Oreochromis niloticus: one gene and its partner. The main gene of each other region encodes a partner of the protein of the gene in region 2 in a complex. Links are inferred from orthologs where the notes say so. Each region holds a gene or a part of one and is shown on either strand. Other genes may lie near its edges.

Region 1 (10,991 bases), on a different chromosome or scaffold from region 2:
CAGCCTCAAAAAGGAAAAAAATCGCTTCAGTTTCTCAGTAGATCAAAGTGAATTTACTAATATTGACTGTATAGGTGTTCTTGGTGTACTCTAGTTGCTGCAGTTCCATTGGTCTAAATTAGACTTGGCAGCAGATTAAAATCAAGCTTAACATCTCTACATTTTCTGCATCACCAAATTAATACTTGTGTCATTATGACAATGAAACTTCATTCAGTAGTTTGGAGGTGTATTCTGTGCAACTGATAACTCTATTTGATTTGCAGTGATGACAGTAAAACAGCAGTACCTAGTGGAGGCAGAACTGCTGTACCCAAAATCAAACCTTGTTAATTTGGCTTACAGCAATAAGGGCTGGAGTGTAAAGTTTTTTTTAAAAAAAAGGATAACAAATGGATGTGTCAAACACAGCTTTGTTGCAGCAAGTTCACACTGTGATGACTATTTATTTGATCCCTGGAATTTTAAGTGATTACAGTGCCACTTAAAAAAAAAAAAAATGACAATGTGTGTGGAAGGGAAAAGAGACAACTGAACAATATTGAAATAATTTATGGGGAACAACCAAATTTGGAATACGGCAAATTGAGTCAACTCATGTCCACTCAAGACCTTCAGGTGGGCAACAAATCCTTTAAAAGTGGGCAGGTGTTTTAGACCAAGATTCTCTAAAATGCCCAGACTGCTTCATCACACTTACATTCTGACCCAGCTTGGACTAATGGGATATGGATGAAAGTCCTTATTGTAGTGATGGAAGTAGAAATAAAAGCATTTATTATAGATCTGCATCTCCAACGTGGAGAATAAATCACTCATTTAACTCACTGCAAGTGCATTTGATTTGAGAGGAAGTCACTGAAAGTTACTCAGCAGTTTAAGTCATGCCTTTGACCTGTATATTGTAAAAGGATTAACCTTTTGACTGAACCATCTGATGATGCACACGATCAACAGTTACAGTGCCCGTATGTACAAACCATAGCATAAAAGCGATGGGAAATAGTTAAGGTGGAAAAGAGTTTCAGTTCCTAAGAGCAACAACTTGACAGCTTGGATTGAGAATCAGGTGCCCTCCGGATCTGGTCCTGCTCAGAAAATTGTGTATTTTTTTATTCTACATATTCTGTCCATCATCCTGTGTCCCATCTCTGAATGTAACTATGACAACAACTGTTTTAGTGTATCAATGAATTTAACAAAGTAGTCCTCTTAACGTACACACATTAAGGCATAATTGAGCCGAGAGAGGGGGGGAGAGAGAGAGAGAGAGAGAGAGAGAGAGAGAGAGAGAGAGGCACAGCACAAAAAAACATGTTAACGTGAATCAAAACCAAGCGCACCCCTTTTCAAGGCTTTGCCTCCAAGCCCAGCACTGCTCACAATCTGAACGTCAGTAGCAAAGAAACAGTCGTGAGAACCGTTTCTTTGCCTACAGTGTCCAACAAAGTATCTGGCATGACCCTCACAGCCAGATACTTGACTGTTGATACGGGATCAGTCTTGGAAAGGAGAGAATTTCTGCTGCAGAACCCCAGAGGACAGCAGAAAGACAGGTGAATGGGGAGTAGGCAGATGGACTGACAGGAAGCCACAGACATACAGGACGATCCGGATCCCTGGATCACTGGATGAGTTCAAAGTAGTGCAAGATGGCCATGATGTGCTGTGGCATGAACACATAGCCGGTGTATATGGCCATACCAGCCACAGAGATCAGCAGGGAGTCTGAAGAAGAGAGGTTAAGGAGGAATTTCTGAAGACATTCAAGTTTTACTGCAGGGAACCACACACAAACTCTAACTGACGTGCCTTCATCAATCAGTAGCTGGTAATGTGCTTTACATCCAACAAACACTGCCTGCTAATGGATACAGGCTGGCAGCCAGTTACACCTGCATGCAAATGTTTGCCCACCAAACAGTCAGTGACCTATTTTCCTGGTTTGTGAATAGAAAATATATCAATACAAGCCCTGCAAAATGTTAGCTGGCTTGTATAACAGCTGTGGCTAAAGTGTAGACACAAAGTCTCATAATTTCAGTAAGGCAAGTCAAACTTTAGTTGTAGCTATTCTAGCAATTGGAAAGAATTTCAAACCCGTTCGGCAGGATTTACATTCCAGAAAGCAGTGAGAAAAATAAATAAATATTTGAAATAACTTTAAAACTATGTACAGAGATAGCCACAATAATGCTCTCAAAATCACTGTTGAGCATAAAGCATGTTTACATGCTCTATAATTACCTTGCTAATGTAAACAGGAAAGCAGACTGTTGCTAGAAAGAGGCCATCACTTTGCATTTGCTCAAAGCATGGTCCAATAGACATTTTCACTGTTGAATGTCCTTGCTGATAGCTATCATACAAGATCACCACTGCACAAAAAGGCAAGTTGCAGAAGGCTCTGCAGCTCTTATACTTGCTGCTTTCTAAAGGGAACATCTTCCAGTAGGAAAAAGTGACACTGTTGTCTTGCCTGACAAAATTACATGCTTACAAGAAAAATTAGCAACCACATCATACACACATCTGAAAGCTTCTGGTTCTTTGAGGACAGAAACTGCTGCTTTTTATCATCTTACATGATAAATATACATTTTTAAGTTATGACTCAAAAAAATCTTTTACAGTACCGGGAAACTTTAGGTGGAGGAACTTCAGTGTTTATTTTTGTTCCATTTAGCTGTAAATGTTGTACAAAACAGATTTTAAACTTGTGACAGGATGTTTTGCAATGAAAATAACCTTGGAGGTCACAGCTCTCTACAGAACTGTACACCTTTGACCTTCTATCAAGTGACCATATATTTCCTAACAGATTTGTCAACCAAGAAATTTTGTCAGTCACTGACATTTTCCAACACTCATTCACTTGTCCTTCCTGATAGGAAAAGAAATAGGAAAAAAAAACCCAAACCCTCAAATACTTATAAAACCTACATTCAAGTACAAAAGTCTCATCAGCCACTCGAAGTTAAGTTCATCTTGGCCATAATCCGCTTTCTGTAGATCAACAATAAAATAACCCGTGTGATCCCTGAGCGACTGCGTTACGTTATTTGATGAGATGCAGGCTGATAAAGAGCAGGAAGACACACCTGATCCTCGGAGGGAGACGAGCTACACCCTGACAGTGACGCCAACTGTAGGAAGACGATACATCATGCACAGAATGTGATACTGATGACTTCCTGCACTGCCACAGATCAAAGTGCAGTCATAAAACCATCAACAGGGGGTACCCTCTAATTATTAACTTCGCTCAGTTAAAATTGTTTGCGCTTTTTAAAAACATAAAATTAAAATAAAAGGTCATACGTAACGTGTATGTACTTCACGCGACAATCACCTGACCGACTCTCTTAAGTAGCTGAAGCTAGCTTAGCTTTGATGCCGCCCAAAGAGTCAACTAACCGCACACACACTGGACTTGAAAGCTTGTTTTCTATATGAAAGGAAAAGTACACAGCACTACAACAAAGTGTGAAACAATCTTTAGTATAATAATGAAAGGAATTTGACGCTTTAATCATGGCTGTCACTACAAACACGTTTCTTTATGTTATGTCAAATAGGTTATGAACTAGGAAGCGGTTTAGATATTGTCAGGCACACACAACTTCAGTTTTCATCCGTTTCTACACAAATCAATCACAGGTTAAAACACATAACTTGTAGAATAACATTTAAAGCCGTCTCTACAATGTGGCGGACGAGTGTTCAATTCAGAATTGGCTAAGCTGTGAACTCTTTAGGTTTCAACGATAAGAAGGGCCGACTCGGTCTATATGCCGAATTTGCCATAAATCACCGCTCGTGTGTTTAAATGCTGTAAATGGTTTATACAAAAAAAGTGAAGCTATGTTTACTTTTACGTAAAGTTAGCGCTATCAGTGAAATATCTAGGTCAGTCAGGCTAGCGTTCAGCTAAAGTTAGCAAATTAGCTAGGTCGAACATCCCTTCAGAAGCCACTTCAACACGGAAAAAGGATACTGAACACCGTCCTCTCCCAGGGCTCCAGCATGTACAAGGCTGTCACCAGAAGATACTGGTAATAAAACCAGGATAACTGCTTCCAACATTCTCCAAGTGCCATGGTCCTAACTTTTAAAATGAACTTTGTTCCTTCCTCACGGCTCTTATCCTCTTTATGTTTCGTGCTGAGGTGTTTTCTGCTCGCGTAAGGTTTAATCGCGAGGCGCTGGTTTCCGGCAAATCACAACTCCGCGTTCAACCGTATGATTGTGACGCAGACCAGGGTGTTCCACCTTCCTAATTTCAAAATAAGAGTCAAAAACAACTTTTAACACCACATAAAAGATGCATTTATACACTATTTTTATTTGCTTGTTTATCTTTACCTTAACTGTGTGCCCATCTCTTCATTTAGTGTATTTCCTTCCATTAAGCATCAAATATCTTGGTTCTTTAAAACAGATTTCGAGTCACCCCCCAAACCAAAGCGCTCTACTGACCCAAATACTCACTAAAGCACTAAATGTGGATTATTCCATGGCTGAATAGATTCCCCAACAAAATGCTATACTCCCCAGTTTGAAGAACATTTGCGTAGGAAGTACAGGTATTTATGAAATCAGTTAACTACCATTTAAACGGCAGGAATCTATATTATGATCATGCCAACAGTGTATAAGTGAGGCAGACAAAGCACTGTTTCTATGCCTACAATTGTGATGGACATCAGAACATTTACTTACCGAAGCCATAACTGTAGCAGCATATACCGAAAATTACCCATCTCAGAAGAGATTATTTGTCAATGTTGACAAATAATTTCAAAATCAGACATGAAAAAGAAAAAATGATGCAGCCTTTCAAAAGTTTCAGAAAACTGTATTCTTTGTATTAAATTTTTTTTTTTAAAAAGCAGCAAATGTAAAACTTTTAGAAGTCTCAACTTTCAGTGTCAGTGTGATTTAGTCTATATTATTTATGGCCACAATTACTAGACAGGCCAAATTAGCATGATGGCAAAATTGCAAAAATACACTGATGGTAGTAGAAAGTTCTGTGGTTGCTCTACTAACAATGCACAATAACGACCAGCATTGTAACTACAGCGGTGTAAATTGGTTGAAAACAAGCAGACACTATGAGTGTTGAAGTATTCTGCTAACAAAATAACACAAAATCTAATAAAACAAAGCACAGGTTTGATCATGTTCTTGTTAATAGAAACAGCATTGTAATTCAGATTAATGAGGGAAGCTAAAGGAAAATCAATGTTTTAATATAGGGGCTAACTAATCCTGTCAGAAATTGCTGAGGAATTTGTGTAATCATGTGGGAGGAGGTGAGGTGCAGGATTCATACAGAGGAGACCTGCACTATGAAATCTAAATGCAACAGCTGACCTGTACCTTAATAAATCAGATTTGTGTGACCAATTTAAACATTTGTGCTCTTCAAATTACACACGCAGTAAGACAAGCCACAAAAACACTGGAGTCAACGCCAATAGGTTGTGTTCAGGCACAGCACTTAAAGTTTTACAGACATGAGCTGGGACAATTTTTCTAATCCTGAAAAGAATTTCATTTTAGTTATCTGTGGAACAATGTGTTCAAAATATGGATGATAAACGTGATCAGGTGAAGCTTTACACACAGACTGATTTGCCATCTCAGCCGTGACACTGAAGGAAAAATCTAGTAAAAACTGTTGTAACTGCTGTAAACACAACACTGACAAGTTATCACTGGCGCCATGATCTTATTTGCAAAAAAAAAAAGAAGATGGACATTTACACATCCTGCAAATACAGAACAATAACAGCGTTAATTTAAAGTGATGAGCACACGTCCAGTGTTCACTCCCCTTTAGCTCTGCTTTGGTGAGCATTTTTGGATATAAAGACACTGATCTGAGCCACGAGGTGTGAAGCCAGAGAAAAAGTCCAGCTCAGAGCTCGTTCAGTCCTTATCAGCAGTGGCTGGCCAGGATGTTGAAGAAGTGGTAGACCTCATCTTTATCGAACACGGCCACCTCAGTGGAGCACTCAGAGCACTGTACTGGGTGGTACACCTCATCAGCATCCATCCCCATTGCTGCTGGAGTCTCATCCGCAGGCGTTTCTGTCTGCTGTCCCCTCCTCCTCTTCCTGTTCCTCCGGTTCTTCTCCTGCTGGTTTTTGTAACGCAGCACCTCCTCTCTCTTGACTGTGCAGTTCATCACAAACATTGCTCGATACTGCGTCCGGTACTTCTCGTGCCTGAATGGACCCAACAGAGACGTGTCGTTACATTTTAAAATGACAAAATCTCTATAGTGAAAATTTCTCATTGGGCAGGCAGATAATTTTCAATCACTTCAAATCTTTCTTTAAAAAAAACAAAAACAACAAACAAAAAAAAAACTGATCTAGAGTATAAAATGGCTCACATATCTTGTGTTGTCAAAACAGCTTTCACTGTGATACTATGATCCCTAATCCAACAATACGGGACAGGGACATGTAATGGGAGTTGGGCAATGGCCCGTTGGCTCTCCTTAGTCAGCAATAACTAGTTTTTATTAATGTTTTCATCACATATTTAATCATTCCAGCTTTTCAAACATGGGAACTAGTCCTGTGCATATATGAAAACATGGGTGTAGCTTTGGTGTCACATTAGGAATAGAAAGCGGCTTTATTGAATACAACATGATGTTGTTCTCAATCACAACTTGTGACCTCAGCTCTCCTGAAATATCTTGCATGTGACACTTTGGCACGCTGTGCATAAACAAGAAAAAATACAAACACTGCAAAACAATCAAGAATATAAGAAATCATGACCTCTGGAATATTTGTTTCAAATGAAATGAAAACTTTTCTAAAAAGTCAGTATTATTAAGTTCTAGTAGTTTTCCCTATGCTGGACTGAATCTCCACCATGTAGGACATTAAGCATGTTTTAGTGTGGTAAAAAAGAAACTAACACTCTTGGCGATTATCAGACAGGGTATATGTAACACTACTCCATCATCAGTCAGACTTTCTCAGATGGATTCTGCTCTCTGATCTCAGGTAACATTAGGCCGACACCTTAAACTGCTGCTGGGTTAACACAGGGATCCACACTGTTCTGAAACCTGCTGTGGAGCCTCACCTCTGACAGTCCAAGCAGAGTGTCGTCATGCATGCGGGACAGTTAAGAACAGCGTCGCTGTGGGGTAAAGCCTGAGGGTGGCGAAGCTTTGAGTGAAAAGCTGCAGCAGGTCGTTTTCTTCTGCTGTACCTACACAGGAAGGTAAGAGGCAGAATGAGTCTCTGGAGGGAAATTTTTTAAAAAAAAGAAGCAAAAACATCTGGTGGCATGTGTTTTAGAAATTGTAAGAGAATCTGTGTTACTCTCTCCTCCTGGCGTCAACCCAGGCCTGGTCTCTGTCATCCTGGTCGGGGTCGTACAGCAGCTCGTCATTGGTCGGAATGACCCGCTGTCTCCGCCTCTGGCTTGTGGAGCTGCCTACAGAAGAAATTTCAAAAACTGTTAGTGGTAGGCTGTACATGTACTCTGTCATCTAATGACATCTTAATGACTGTTGGTAACCACAGCAGGAAAACCAGTTCTCTTACTCGGTGTGCCGTCTTCCTCTGAGTCAGAGTCAAAATAAACCTCATCATACATCTGTGGGTTAGAAAGTCCAGGACCACCACCAGCACCTCCTCCCCCTTCTTCTTCTCCTCCTCCTGGTCTTTTTGAGGTCTCTACCAGAGAACAAATACACAACTCGTAAGCACAAACTGTATTTACAGAGACGGTCTGTCTCACACAGCAAGATAAGTTAGTTAGTTAACCGTGGGATTAAACTTGGCTTCTTCCTATGTCAACACACTACTCTTCCTAGTACTTGTTTTGTTTGTTGTATTGTTGAGCTTATACTGTGTTCCAGATACCTTAGATGTCGGAACTCAGGAGTGATGTCATTCCCGAGTGCATTACAGTATAAAATTGTAAAAGTGAAAAACTAGGAACTTCACTAGAACTGAAGAAGCTTCTTGGATGAGAAGTGAAAAGTCTTCAAGCAACTTAAAGAAGACCAGATGCTTTTCTTTCCAAGCTCCTTAGACTACGATGACCTGGATTACTGAGAACCTTCACAGACACACAGGTGATTATTTTAACATATTTTCATTAAAAATGCTCCAAACAACAACATCACAAACACTGTCAGCTCATTCAATGACTAGAATTAGCTAAGATTAAGCTTAACACACAGCTTTTGGCTATAGCTGCCATCTAGAGCTGGGCGATAAAACGATAACGATATGTATTGCGAAATAACTTTTTCTCGATAGAAAAATTAAACTATTGCGATAGGCCTCATCTCTCTTGTCCTCTTAAAAAAAACAAAAAAACAACAGCCAATCCAAATTAAGTAGCGCAGAGCCGAACCAATCACAGCCGCAGCGTCACGTCACGTGACTTGTTACGTACAGCACAAGCGCCAAGGCGCACATGTGTATTTGTTTTTGCAGCCGTGCAGCCCAGGTAATGAAGGAAATGAGTTTGCCGACTAGAGAAAAATCAACCGAGAGCGTGAGCGAAGGTTACCAAAGAAAAAACAGATGATGGTTCCAATGCCGGAGAGCTTGTCGAACGGAAGGGCCACAGAAGTTCCGTAGTGTGAAGGTATTTCGGCTATTTCAAGTCTGACAAAAAACAGAGTAGCGCGCACTGTAAATTGTGCCGAAAGCAAGTCTGGAAATACAATAAAGCGGTGCATGCTCAATCTCTGACTGAAAGCGCTAATTCGTCATTCGGCTTTTGTCAGACTAAAGTAACTGTTAAAACTGTTTGAAAAGCTAAGCTATACAACAAGGAGAGATTGAGAATTTTCTTTTAGTTCTCAGTTTATTTGATATTGACAAAAGTTAGTCAATTTTGTCTGTTCTTCTGTAAAACAACCTAAGATTTATTTTTAGAATTAATATTTTGTTTCTAAGTGGAATTGACAATTTAGTAGTCTGTTTTGTTTGTTCTATTTTGAAACTTAAATGCTTTAGCGGCTGCGTTTTGTGTAGTTTGCAATATTTGCCTTTATTTATCTGAAACTGAAGTCTCATGTTCCTTAAGTACATCTGCCCTGTTAAACTTATTATGGGAAATAAATATTTTAATTAAAACAAGCTGCTAATTATTTCACATTTTACTTGTGAGCAACGGCACATTTAAATCTTACAAATATAGTTATTTGGCTTATATCGTGAAATATATCGTTATCGCCTGAAATGAAAAAAACATATCGTGATATGAAAAAAATCTTATATCGCCCAGCTCTACTGCCATCTAATCAGTTGATAGCAAAGTAATTCCAGACATATCACTATGAAAATACAAATACTAGCAGCTGAGTGTTACCTGCTGCTGGTACCCAGGTTCCCTGCATGGTCTTGATGGTGGAGCTGAGCTCTGCCTCCATCTCTTTTTCAAAATCATCCTCGCTGGATGACTCGCTCTCCCCGGTTAGATACTCTCTGATCAGCTTCTTTTTCTGGTCCGGAGTCCCGTTCAGGAGCACGTCCAACTCATCCTCCGAACTAAAACAGAGAGAAAGATTTCAGAAAAAAAAACAGACTCTCAAACCCAGGAGATTACTAAATTGAAGTAACCATTCATGTGTTATTCTGCACATGTGACATTATATCATGTGGTGGCATCGTATAGTGTTTAACAGACCAAATAATTAAGCACTTAATTTTGGAAACCATTAATCCACGTCGAAACTGTCGCTTTAAGCTTAGCTCAAAACCAAAATAAGTTGCCTGTACTCACTAAATCCATCGGTACATACATATTTGCTGCTTTAATAATGAAATTTCATATCTTCAGGTAGACAAGTTCTTTTGAAGTTTTGGACTTCTGATTGGACACATCAAGACGTCTCAGGACATCACTTATAAATATTAATAATTATGACGTCTTGCTTAATTTTCTCTAATTAAGTGCCATAATAATAAATCCAGAAAATTCTTGGCTAATTACGGCAATAATAAGTATCTGCACTCGTGTTTTTATTTTCTTCTCATCCGCTTGCCTGTAACATTTAGACTTATAAAAATCTGCCGCCTTTCTATAATCAGAATCAGAATACTTTATTGATCCCTAGGGGAAATTATTTTTCGTTACAGTGCTCCATTATAAACAAACACTAACAAAGACAGACAATACACCAACTAAGAATAGCTGAAAAGAACATGTGCAAGAAGGGTGTAGCTGTTGCAGTAAACAGTGTGTTAAGTGGAGGAGTTGTACAGGGAGATGGCCACAGGCAGGAATGATTTCCTGTGTCGTTCAGTGGTGCTTTTCGGTAATCTCAGTCCCCCACTGAACGTGCTCCTGTGACTGACCAGCATGTCATGGAGTGGGTGGGAGGTGTTATCCAACATTGTCTTTATCTTGGACAACATCCGCCTCTCCGACACCACCTTGAGGGAGTCCAGCTCCATCCCCACAACAATACTGGCCTTACGAATCAGTTTATCGAGTCTGTTGGCATCTGCGACCCTCAGCCTGCTCCCCCAGCATGCAACAGCATAGAGGATTGCACTGGCCACAACAGACTCATAGAAAATCCTGAGCATCATAATCATAATTAATGATAATTAAGCAGTAACATCCATGTCACGTTAAAATAAATTCACCGCAAAGAGCGGCTCAGCGCAGTCTCCCTGCTATTCCAGTTTGTTTACATGTTAGCTCCCAGCTAGCTATCTCCACTTTAGCCTAATCGGCCCCTAAAAATAAACACACGTATTATCCTCGCACCTGCTGGCGGCCCGCTCTTCGTCGCTCGGCTCTTCGATCTCATATGACTCAAAGTCTTGTGCTTGACCCAGCTTATTCATTTTAAATGTTTGAGGAGCTTCAATTACAATAGCATGAGGTGCTGATAAGTTAGCAACAACACGCCAAGTTGCTTCTTCCGCTTCCGCTTCTTCTTCTTTTGTGTTTAATAAGGGGTTGGTAAGCGGTACTAAAGT
Region 2 (10,616 bases):
ATAATATCAGGGCCATTGTGAGGACTTTTTAAGTCGGGGGCAATGAGAACCCTACCCTTAAATAAATCTTTTTCATTAGAGCAGCAAACACTTATCCCTTGGCTGTGTGAAGGGCACTATTGGTGTGTTTGAGCTGCTCAGCAAGGTCCCACAGGGAAGAGCCTAAACCCTCAGCGGTCTTCAGCCGGACACTGAGGCGGCCTAATTAAAGGGCACTTAAGCCCCACAATGTGCGGCGGTGCAAGTTGGAGTTGGTGGGGGTCCCCGGCGAGAGGGACAGAATTCATGGCACTCGTAGACAAGGGTGTCCAGGACAGAGGGACAGAAGAGGGCTATGTGCCAGAGACTTTGTTCACACAAGATGAAGAGTCAACAGCCTCCCCATCCCTCACCCCTCTTTAGCCATCCCCCCTAATAACCACCTTCTTCAGAGAAGCTGCAAACACAATGCTGTCCCACTCCCCTCCTCTTGCTCTCAATCACTGCTGGGACAATGAGGGGAACTCCCCCCCCCCAGCACCCTACCACCTTCACCATCCTTCTGCCTCTCCCCGACCCCCAAACAGACACTTCTTTTATTGAAATTCTTTGGTGTTCTAATCCTCCGCTTCCTCCAGGAGCAATAATGGACTCCCTGCGTCAGCCTTTTCCAGCGAGGCTATCATCCAAGCCTGCCTGGGTCACAAGTCCACCCCTCCTACTGGAGAAAATTACCCCGGCAGTGTCATTCCTGTCACAAGCAGCCCATCCACAGGCCATAAAACCCCAATACCACTGACCTTAAGAACATATCTGTATTTGTGGCTAGATATTTCTGTGTTTTCAGGTAAAGCATTGCTCCATGCGTTAATTAAAGGCGCGACACTGATTTGCCAAAATCCTTTCTCTGCAGTGCTTCCAGATTTTTATAATTCTTTTATTTTATTGTGCTTTTTTCACAGTCTCTATCAACCTTTTAACATTTGAACAATTTCCTTGTGGCTGCAATTCACTGAGATTCTGAACTCACGAGTTGGTAGATGTCTAGAAAGTGCTGGAAATACAAAATACTGGATGAACTAAAATGTAAACCCGCACATTTTCTCGAAGAAGTGATGAGTACAGATTATACTTTATATGTTGTGTAAAGCTCATACTTGCATTGCCTAGTCTTATAGTCTTGTTATCTTCATTTACTAAAGTGGAAACCTGGTCCTATGACATGAGTAATCATTAAGCAACGTGCATTTAGACAGGCATTTAAAAAGGCATTGAATTCATTATATATAAAAACTTCTTTTTAAACACCTAAGAAGAGGCTCATTACCTTCTAAGTTTCTTTGCTGCTCAGAACGACAGAAAAAAGCAGGACTTAATTATGATAATTAATAATTACACCTCATATTATATCACTATGCCTCCACAGTTGTGTCTTTAAGAGTAGAAGCATCACAGTCCAGACTCCAGGATGGCAGCAACCAGTTCAAAGTGTGTTGATGGTGACATCTGCTGGTCTTCTACAATCAGACGCTGCTGTTTATCTGCATATTGCAGTCTGATGAGTGAAATATACAGGTGCCAAATACTCACTAATCTTTATGGTATCAGTAGCAAGAGATGTACAAAAAATGACTTTTTCAAACCTTGTAGAAGCTTTTTTTAAACGGACCAAACTGACTGTGTATTCTTTGACTGATTTAGCTTAAACTGCGATATTATAACATTATATGGCACAATATACTAAAGAATGCAACTTGTAGGCCCTTTGAGTTTGATTTTTTGCCACATCACAGAATATATAACTGCTTACAATTTTTCATTCCTGATTTTATGACTAATGTAAGCTACACTAGTTTCATTTTGAAAAGGTTATGATTTTTTTCAAATTACAGAGCAATATTTGGACTTGAAACAATGTAGAAAAAACAAAGAAGCATTCAACTAATTGTTTAAACTATGCTATAACACATGATTTACATGAACTGTTTAGTAACAGAATTTCAAGGCAGACAACAACAAATATATATGGTAAACTTCCTGGGTACAGATTTTTTTCCTGTCCCATTTTTTAGTTAAAATGTTCTTCCCAGAATACATGCACATGAGCTACAGTAATGTCTGTAAACTTATGGATGATAATTGGATACAGATTTATGCCTTGAAGAAAATATTCCTGGCTAAAACCATGCAAAGAATTTACAGTTGATTCGCATCTTAAGGGAGACATGGAAATATGAAATGCATCTCATCATTAAAAGCTCTTGTTGCTGGCATGCATCCTATTAATGGAATCGCATTACATCTGAAAGACTTAGCTAAATGAGCCGTAGGCAAAACCCTAAGAGTAGAGAAGTGGAGTTTACAGAGGAATATGTCTAAACATCTGTTAGATTTATAGCTGTGGAGAAATGAATGCAACCGCATGACACCGAAGCTTTGATCTATCATCATCAGTGGTAACTAAAGTTGTAAGACAACTATTAAATGGCACTCTGGACTAAACCAACAGCTAATGATTTAAAATGGCATTTTAACATATAACAAAACCTGTTTTTCTTAATTACATTTTGGTATTAAGGTTTACCCGCACCATCATTTACACGAGTGTGTGTTACTGAAATCACTGAAATACTCATCTCTTGATGTCAAACGTGCCCAGATGAGTACTTTCATTATCCCCCTCCTCCTTATATGTATTTTATCAGTGTCATGTACTTGGTCATTGTTCCAGTGCCAGAGATGATCTCACAGCACTGACATGCATAGTTCTCATTTGAGCAGAGCTCTAGGTTTACATATCTGACACAACTATAACTCCCAAGGCTATGAGCACACGAGACAGTCCACTGTCAGACGGCTAAACCCGTTTGATGCCACTCATCACAGGGGTACCCTTGGATACAGTAGGTGTCACATAACATTTCATGCAAGCAGAGGACTGATGACCCCCTTGGCTTCAGGCTACTGTGGGCCAAAGTTAGTATATGGGTTTATCTTGGGATCTAGAACACGACACTGTTGATCTTTTGATTTTGAAACCACAGTATGATCCCGTTAGACATTTACTGTTGCCTCTAGCAAGGTCTCCTCTCATCTTGGCTACATGAAGAATCGAGAGCTTTCTTTTATGTGTGTGTATAAAAATTTTGCTACTCACCATTTTGGAATTTTTAGCAGCTGTGAGAGCGTGGCTGATACTGTTTTAACTTGTGACTCCTTGTGTGTTACTGTGGCAAAATGCTAGCCTGTTGAAACCTAATGTAGTGTCTGTGGAGACTCACTGTCATTGGGATTTTATCAGAATATTCACTTTAATTCAGTTTTATTTATCTAGCACCAAATCATAACAACATTTGCCTCAAGATTCTTTATATTGTAAGGTAAAGACCCTACAATAATACAGAAAAAACAGCGAAAACCCCAATATTAAGATGACCTGCTTTGGGGAAACGCTTTGGCGACAGCGGGAAGGAAAAACTCCCTTTTAACAGGAAGAAAACTCCAGCAGAACCAGGCTCAGGGAGGAGCAGCCATCTATTGTGACCAGCTGGGGGTGAGGGGAGGAAGACAGGACAAAGAAACACTATGGAAGAGAGCCAGAGATATAAAGAAAAATAACTAATAAACAGCAGAGGATGAATGTATGGATTCATTGGTAACTTGTGATGTACTAATATATTTCAAGAACTGTCTAAAGACCAATTTCTGTAGCAACTGGAGTGAATCCATTGCTGGATGATCTCTAGATAATTTTGTGTTTAATCTCTCTGTTCCATCATATATTTATAAAATGTTTGTTTTTCTAAAAAAAACAGCCCTTCAACAGCTTCTCCAACTTAGGGCTGTGGGGGGCTAGACTCTTACTCTGCTGATATGGGGGGAAAGTATGGTGACCTGCAATATTTTTTGTCCTTTGTCACATCCTGTAATTGTGACAGTGTCTAACATTTTGATTTAGTCTAGTTTTCCAAGGCACTGCTATCCAGTGGTTATGAACAAAGACCATCATCATAAATCATGTGCATGTTATCATCACACTCTCTTGCTGCCTTGGCTACAGTATGCCAAACAGGGGAAAACAAACAGAGGAAGTCACCAAGTCTAAAGCTTTGCAGATTTCAGTGGAATATGATGGAAAATACCTTAAAGACAAGCAAATGCAGCAACAATAAAGACTATGAAGCTACTTATAACAGGATGACACTGGTGGAATTTTTTGCCTTTATTCTTGTAATTTTGACATTTCACATGGTGGTGAATAGCGACATGAAGTGAAACAGTGCATGTCAGTCTCACAAAGCTCCTGGGGCTAAAAACAAGAAGTGAAATGCAAATCTCAGTATGTTAGCTGGCTACTTTTAGCTGCTCCTTTATTCACAAGGGGATGCCACTGCACGACACATCAAATATGGTGCCAGATTGACAGATTTTTACAGCAGATGACCTTCCCGCCACAACTCCTAAGGGATATGTATCTCCTCACTGGATCAAACTAGGCATACTTCCTTGTTAGGGGAATGTGGAAACAACTAAATGATGGAGCCAATGGCCAAACTAAGGTTGTGTTCCTACTGAAAGCCAAAGACTATTACCAGACAGAACATTAACTTAAGGTTTCTACATTTATTGATAGAAGGTGTGTTAGAAGATGATGAAACAAACCTTTTATGTTTATTGAATTTGCCTAAATTTACTCAGGGAACTGGGAAAGTAGCATTTGACTAAAATGCCATATTGTTTGTCCCCAATGTGCTAAATTCCAGGTCAATTCAGCACTAACGTCAGCATCTGGGCACCTTAAAGGTGCTGTTATAAACGGATTTAGTATTATATACCCAACTGTAAGGCAATTATTTTATTAATAATACAATAGTAAAATTATTTTATATATATATATTTTAGTTTTTTGTCATCAGAACTAAGACGTTTTTATTTATTTATTTATTTAGATAGTTATTTTTGTTTGTTTAAAAATAAAAATATAAGCAATTTAATTGTATAAACTATACTTCCTCGTTTTTAAAATCAGGATTCTTGTTATTAAACGTAGCCTATAAGTGCCAATCACTTTTCCCTGAGCTCCTCCTCTGCCCTGACGTCAGGGAGACGTAGCTACGTGTTTTCAGCGCACTACGCTGTGATTGGCTAAATAAGCTCACGTGACTTGAACACAGCGTATCACTGAAAATTGCGAGGAGCAAAAAAACTCCTCTGAAACGTGTGCCGTGAGAGAGCGACGATGACGTAACACCGTGGACCGTGCTGTGTTGTCACCAGCTGTTGGCTAAAAGAAGACGAAAGAAAAGTGGACGCGTCTCGATGGATTGCGTGTTCACGAGGGGACCGTAGGGCTTACAGCCACGTTCGGAACTGAAGGAGGGGAACCGGGCGACTAATGGAAGCCCCGCAGACTCGTCAGCCGCGCAGGGATAGTATTAGTTACATAACTGAAGCCATCGATAACGGAAAAACTGTGATAACGGAGTAGTGCCCGTAAAGGTCGGAGTTGAAGCCATTTTTCTCTGCAGTAAGTGCAATGATTTCATTAATTAACCCAACGCATTTGAACTTTTCTTGTTTTTTGCTGTTTTTGCTTTCATGCTTCACTTCAAGATCTTTTTAAGGATCAATTGTCTCCAGTGATGTTTCCAGACAACTTGCAAAAGAGCATGCTGGAATGATCAGCGCTTGCGACATTGTTTACTCTAGTCAATCAGTTGCTACTGAACCAGCAGACACCAGCTTGCTCAGCAGTTTTTATTCACGCACAAGGCTACTTCTTAAAATGTGTAAATCTCATTTGATCATATTTCAATGTTTTCTCCATTTATACCACGGCAACAGGCATCTGATTGGCTTGCAGATGTCAGGTTAAAGCCATCATATAACCCACTGTTGCTTTATTGCAATACATAGTAATACATGAAAGTCATTATTTCCTTTATGCAGTTTCATTTAAGGGCAACCAAGCTACATGATTCATTTTCTTTTAGTTGAGTTCACTACAGGTGTCTGTATAACCCTTTAAATATTACCGCTTACCATTAGAGGTTGTAGATAGTCAGAAGGTAACATCTTTGGTTTTTGTTTCAGGAGACCGTTACACAAGTCTTACCGCCGCCATCATGAACGTGGGAACAGCACACAGTGAGGTTAACCCCAACACCCGAGTGATGAACAGCCGGGGTATGTGGCTGTCTTACATCCTGGGCATCGGCCTCCTTCATATCATCCTGCTGAGCATCCCCTTTGCCAGTGTGCCCGTGGTCTGGACCCTCACCAACCTCATCCATAATCTGGTTAGTGGTGTAGTGGTGTCCCTCAAAGGACCAGCACAGCCACGGTTTGCCTTAACCTTTACTGACTAGGTCAAGTCAGGTCAAATCAAGTCGAGGGCACGTGCAGCAGAGTGAAGAGGTTTAGGATGTGGTGAATGAGAGTAAGTTGAGAGCTGAGTCAGAGACATAACTGCTTGCTGCTTCACTGCTCTTAGACATGCCTTTGGTTAATGAGGTGGTTCTTTAACAAGCTTCTTATTTTTTTTTTATTTTTTTTTTTCAAATTTTCATAGTTCCTTTTTTTGTCTTTTTCAAATTGGACAGGCCCACATTTCTTGAGAAGAGCGCAGTATTAACCACACCGTGATCCGGTTACACAAGTGAATTTGCTAGTTGAGGCATGGGCTGTTTCATCATGCAGCTTAAAAGTGTTCCTAATATTGAGAACACATCCGACTTTTACTTATGAGCTTTACAGCAGATTTAGATTTATTTTAAAAGAAGAAGAAGAGGAAGCCCTTAACTTAGTAAGTTAACTTCCTGGAAGATTTTGTACTGAACAAAGTTTGCACTTGTATTCACATATCGATAATCCACTAGTGTGGCAATCATGTGACAACAGTGTTCTGTTTTCCCCTTCTCTGTAGTGCATGTACCTGCTTCTTCATACAGTCAAAGGGACACCTTTCGAGACCCCTGATCAGGGCAAAGCTCGCCTCCTTACACACTGGGAGCAGATGGACTACGGTGTGCAGTTTACGGCTTCACGCAAGTTCCTCACCATCACACCTATTGTCCTGTAAGTTGCATTCCTCTGCTTTTTTGTTTAGTGCTGCTTTTTAAGGACCCCAAAAAACGCTAGAGGACAATATAATGGGACAACACCTGAAGCAAATATGTTAGGTCTAAGGAGAGTGTAGACAGGAAATGACAACCAGAGTAGGTCATCAGTTCTCTGACAAGGACATGATGTCTCACTACCTTGTCATCCATCAGCTATTTTGTGTGTGACAGGCCTAAAGCACAAGCAGCTCGCTATGAATGAACCTGTGTGTTTGTGGCTTAATCACAATGCCAGTACCTTTTATTCTGAGTGAACTTGCACACACTTATACCTCAGTGAAAAATGTATGCTGCATTATAAAATTGAGTGCTTACTATCCTTTGGCGTGAGTGTGGATTGATTAGCATACACACTGCTCCCTTATTAGCCAAGCCTGCACATTGAGAAGGGGCACAGTGTGTGCAGAAGTGCCGCTTGCTGCTTTCTTGGCCTTTTTCTGTCCTTATTAACCACCACAGTTCAGTTTACAGGAAGCACTCTGCTTCCCCAGGGTTTATTTGCCAGCTCAGCACGAACATTGTAGCGATAGCGCTTTTGCAGGTGTGGACTTTGTTTTTGCACTTATTTAAAGGGGCTCTTTGTCATTTTGTTTCGTAACCAGCGCCAGCAGGAAGAAGTGAGCGGTCAGTCTTTAGACTCCAGATGTAAAGGCTACACATCTGCTGAAATCTTCTGGGAGTGTTTTTGTACATGTCCTTACCTGTTCCGCTGAGAGCAGGAAATGCAATTCATCATTCTCACTTAACAAAAACCCCTTACTGCCACACCTAAAAGTGCGACTCATATTAAATCAGCATAGTTTTATTTATCCCAGCATCTCACCAGGATTAACACAACTCTGCAAACATACAGCCAGCACACAAGCCGAGTTTATATAGAACATGTATGTGGTTTTGGGGGGGCGGGGGTCTCAGGGGGCCATAATAAAAATAATAAAAAATCAATAAAATAAGTGTAGGATCACATGATGAAGAACTGTAAAATAAGATGCACACATTGCTGAATTCTGCTAAACTCTATAACAACATTTGTTTTTTACTTCTCATATTTTACTTTGGTTTCCTCTGAGGTTACAATAAGAAAAACTAGCTTACATCTTCCTCATTATGCCCCACTGCACTCATGCAAGATGTTGAACTATGTTGTAAATGTAGACTCTAATCTTTACAATCATTAGAATCTTAATATGTATTATATATTATGTCTCCAACCTCAAACTTTTATACCTTTATTGTGCAGACCCACTGTACTCTGTTTGCCTTTTTATGATGTCGCAGGTCGGGTTGAATTGTGGCTGAAGGCTCAATTATACAAATAATTTTTCAGATTGTTGCAAGTTGAAACATTTCTGTGATAAACACAAGCTTTATAGATATGTTGATTAGGTGTCATCGCTGAATGTAGAAATATTGAATAGGTAATAGAATATTTACTATTTATGAACAAATAGATTGTGTTATACATGAAATCTAGCCTTAGCTCTTTAGACCATTCTAACCACCCCCAATGCAAATGGAAAAAACGTTTATTGATGATGAGACAGAGAGCTTGGCCAGAGACTGCAGTGTGTGGAAGGCCTCTTGAGGCCTCTCGAGGATGGGCAGTGGCTCCCAAGCCGGTTAAGTCCCCTGAAACCTCTGAGAGAGGCAGACAGAGGAAGAGGGGAGGGAGAGCAATCAGAACAACTGCTGTGTGGGACAAGCAGGCATCTGTAGATAAGACCGAAAAGGGAGTGTTTATGTGGTCCTGCTCCCGAACTTCAGATAAATCATCTCATATTCATACATCACTTTAAGTGTTTTATCTACTTCTCATCCTCGTCAAAATTGGAATCATCAGTTAGCCTAACATGCATGTGTTGGGATTAAATTAGATGGATTTAGATTAGACTTTTTAGCTTGTTGGTGCTTGGAAGCCTAATGTAGATTTAGGCTTAGAGATTCTCATTTCAGCTCATTTGCTCATAACCAGTGTTGTAATTCTGTTGTTTGGCACGTTAAAATGGTCTCACATAACAACTCCTGGCACAGCTTTTGGGAATTAGGAAACATCTGGGCGTGATTGCCAGAATAAAACTAAGTGAAAGGTTTTTTATACTTAAAGGGACATTTTTTTAAGGAATTTTCCTTTACTAAAGACATTGTGGTTTTCTTCAGGCTTTTAACGGACTGCCTTGCTTTCATACCAGCAGAGAGAACTCTAGACATAAGATTTGTGTCCTTTGCTCATTGTAATCTTCTCCTTTTTTTGTGCCTATTCTTGATTCAGGTATATATTAACCAGCTTCTACACCAAATACGATCGGGCCCATTTTGTTGTCAACACTGTCTCCTTGCTCACGGTACTCATTCCCAAGCTGCCCCAGCTGCACGGTGTGAGGATCTTTGGGATTAATAAGTACTGACACGGCAGAAGAGGACACCTCCTTCCTGCGTCCCTGTGGACTGCTGAGAGCACACAGAGTATCAAGCTTCTGATTTGGCTGCAGAACCATTGGGATCTGTGGTCGTTTGGCGCCTCGCTCTGCAGAGCAGCACTCTAAATAAAGCCTATTGAGCATACTGCCATGGTACCAAACCCCAGGATGGAGACACAAAACACTAGAGAGCACAAAGGGAAAGTGTTCAGTTGTGATTATTTGTGGAAAATCTTCTTTGAGTCTCGTGATTTTTCCAGAGACATTTTAAAAGGATTTCTCAAAGTATTGTGTACATTTCTGTAGACGTTCTCAAATGTGACAAGTGCCGGGGGAACAGGACAATGTAGTTGTACAAATGTGGTGTGCCATTTTACACTACTGGCACTCTGAGGCAGTAATCAAAGTTATTTTGTATGTAATGATACGCTGCTGTATTTATTCAGCTTCACTCTTGCGTGTAGCTTCCTCTTCCTTGAGGTTTCTGAGCTTAGAGGAGAGCAACAATAGTTTAATGAAATGGTAGGGGACCTGTGAAGTGCAGCGGAGGCGAGACGCAAGAAACCACAAGATTTTATATTTAGCCCTCGCTGTTCTGCTCAGGGCCAAGATTGGGAAGTTAAGCAGCCTTTATTTTTATCTGACCATTTCCTTATTTGGACACCTCTTGTCCTGGTTTGTGCGCTGCAAACCTCCTGTCTGTGTGCAAAAGCACTCGACTGATCTGACTTATCCAAAGGTCCTGCAGTCTGGCTCTGGAGATGGGCAACATATGTTCACGTATGTTTGTTCCTGCTCTGTAAAAGTCCTCAGGATCTGTTATGTTGAGCATGAGTCAGCTGTGTCTGCAGCTCAAACCAGTCAGCAGATTGCATACTGAGTTCTATGTTTATTAGGTACGCTTTGTGCAGTCTGATGCACTGTAGCACTGTTGCTTTCATTTACCTAAGAATTAAAAATCCTCCAGAATGATGAAAACAATGCAACAACAAAGCACTCAGGACAAAGATAGAAAAATAAACCCTTGCAAAGCGGGATTAATCACTTTGTCTGCCAGCTGTAGCTGCCGTTTTTCTTTAATGCTTTCTTTCCTAAAGCA

Evidence for each region.
Region 1: the proteins of ormdl3 (region 2) and sptssa are in contact, whole or in part, in a cryo-EM structure (PDB 7CQI), measured with the Homo sapiens proteins. The link is inferred for Oreochromis niloticus from reciprocal best matches to the Homo sapiens genes ORMDL3 and SPTSSA. Residues at the interface, in NP_001307730.1 of Homo sapiens: Val36, Leu38, Ser39, Ile40, Pro41, Phe42, Ser44; in NP_612145.2 of Homo sapiens: Ile44, Tyr50, Thr51, Val54, Phe55.

The regions. Positions count from the first base shown.
Region 1 is NC_031983.2:4,402,997-4,413,987, reverse strand, and holds the start of sptssa (serine palmitoyltransferase small subunit A), read right to left. Parts: upstream 4,236-10,991; 5' UTR 4,101-4,235; coding exon 3,998-4,100; intron 1,729-3,997; coding exon 1,625-1,728; 3' UTR 1-1,624. Other genes in the region: eapp (E2F-associated phosphoprotein), read right to left, coding at 5,948-6,236, 7,117-7,245, 7,359-7,473, 7,584-7,715, 9,370-9,548, 10,777-10,856. UniProt on the Homo sapiens protein: Component of the serine palmitoyltransferase multisubunit enzyme (SPT) that catalyzes the initial and rate-limiting step in sphingolipid biosynthesis by condensing L-serine and activated acyl-CoA (most commonly palmitoyl-CoA) to form long-chain bases.
Region 2 is NC_031973.2:5,869,531-5,880,146, forward strand, and holds the start of ormdl3 (ORM1-like protein 3), read left to right. Parts: upstream 1-5,186; 5' UTR 5,187-5,506; intron 5,507-6,072; 5' UTR 6,073-6,104; coding exon 6,105-6,278; intron 6,279-6,904; coding exon 6,905-7,056; intron 7,057-9,369; coding exon 9,370-9,505; 3' UTR 9,506-10,616. UniProt on the Homo sapiens protein: Plays an essential role in the homeostatic regulation of sphingolipid de novo biosynthesis by modulating the activity of the serine palmitoyltransferase (SPT) in response to ceramide levels.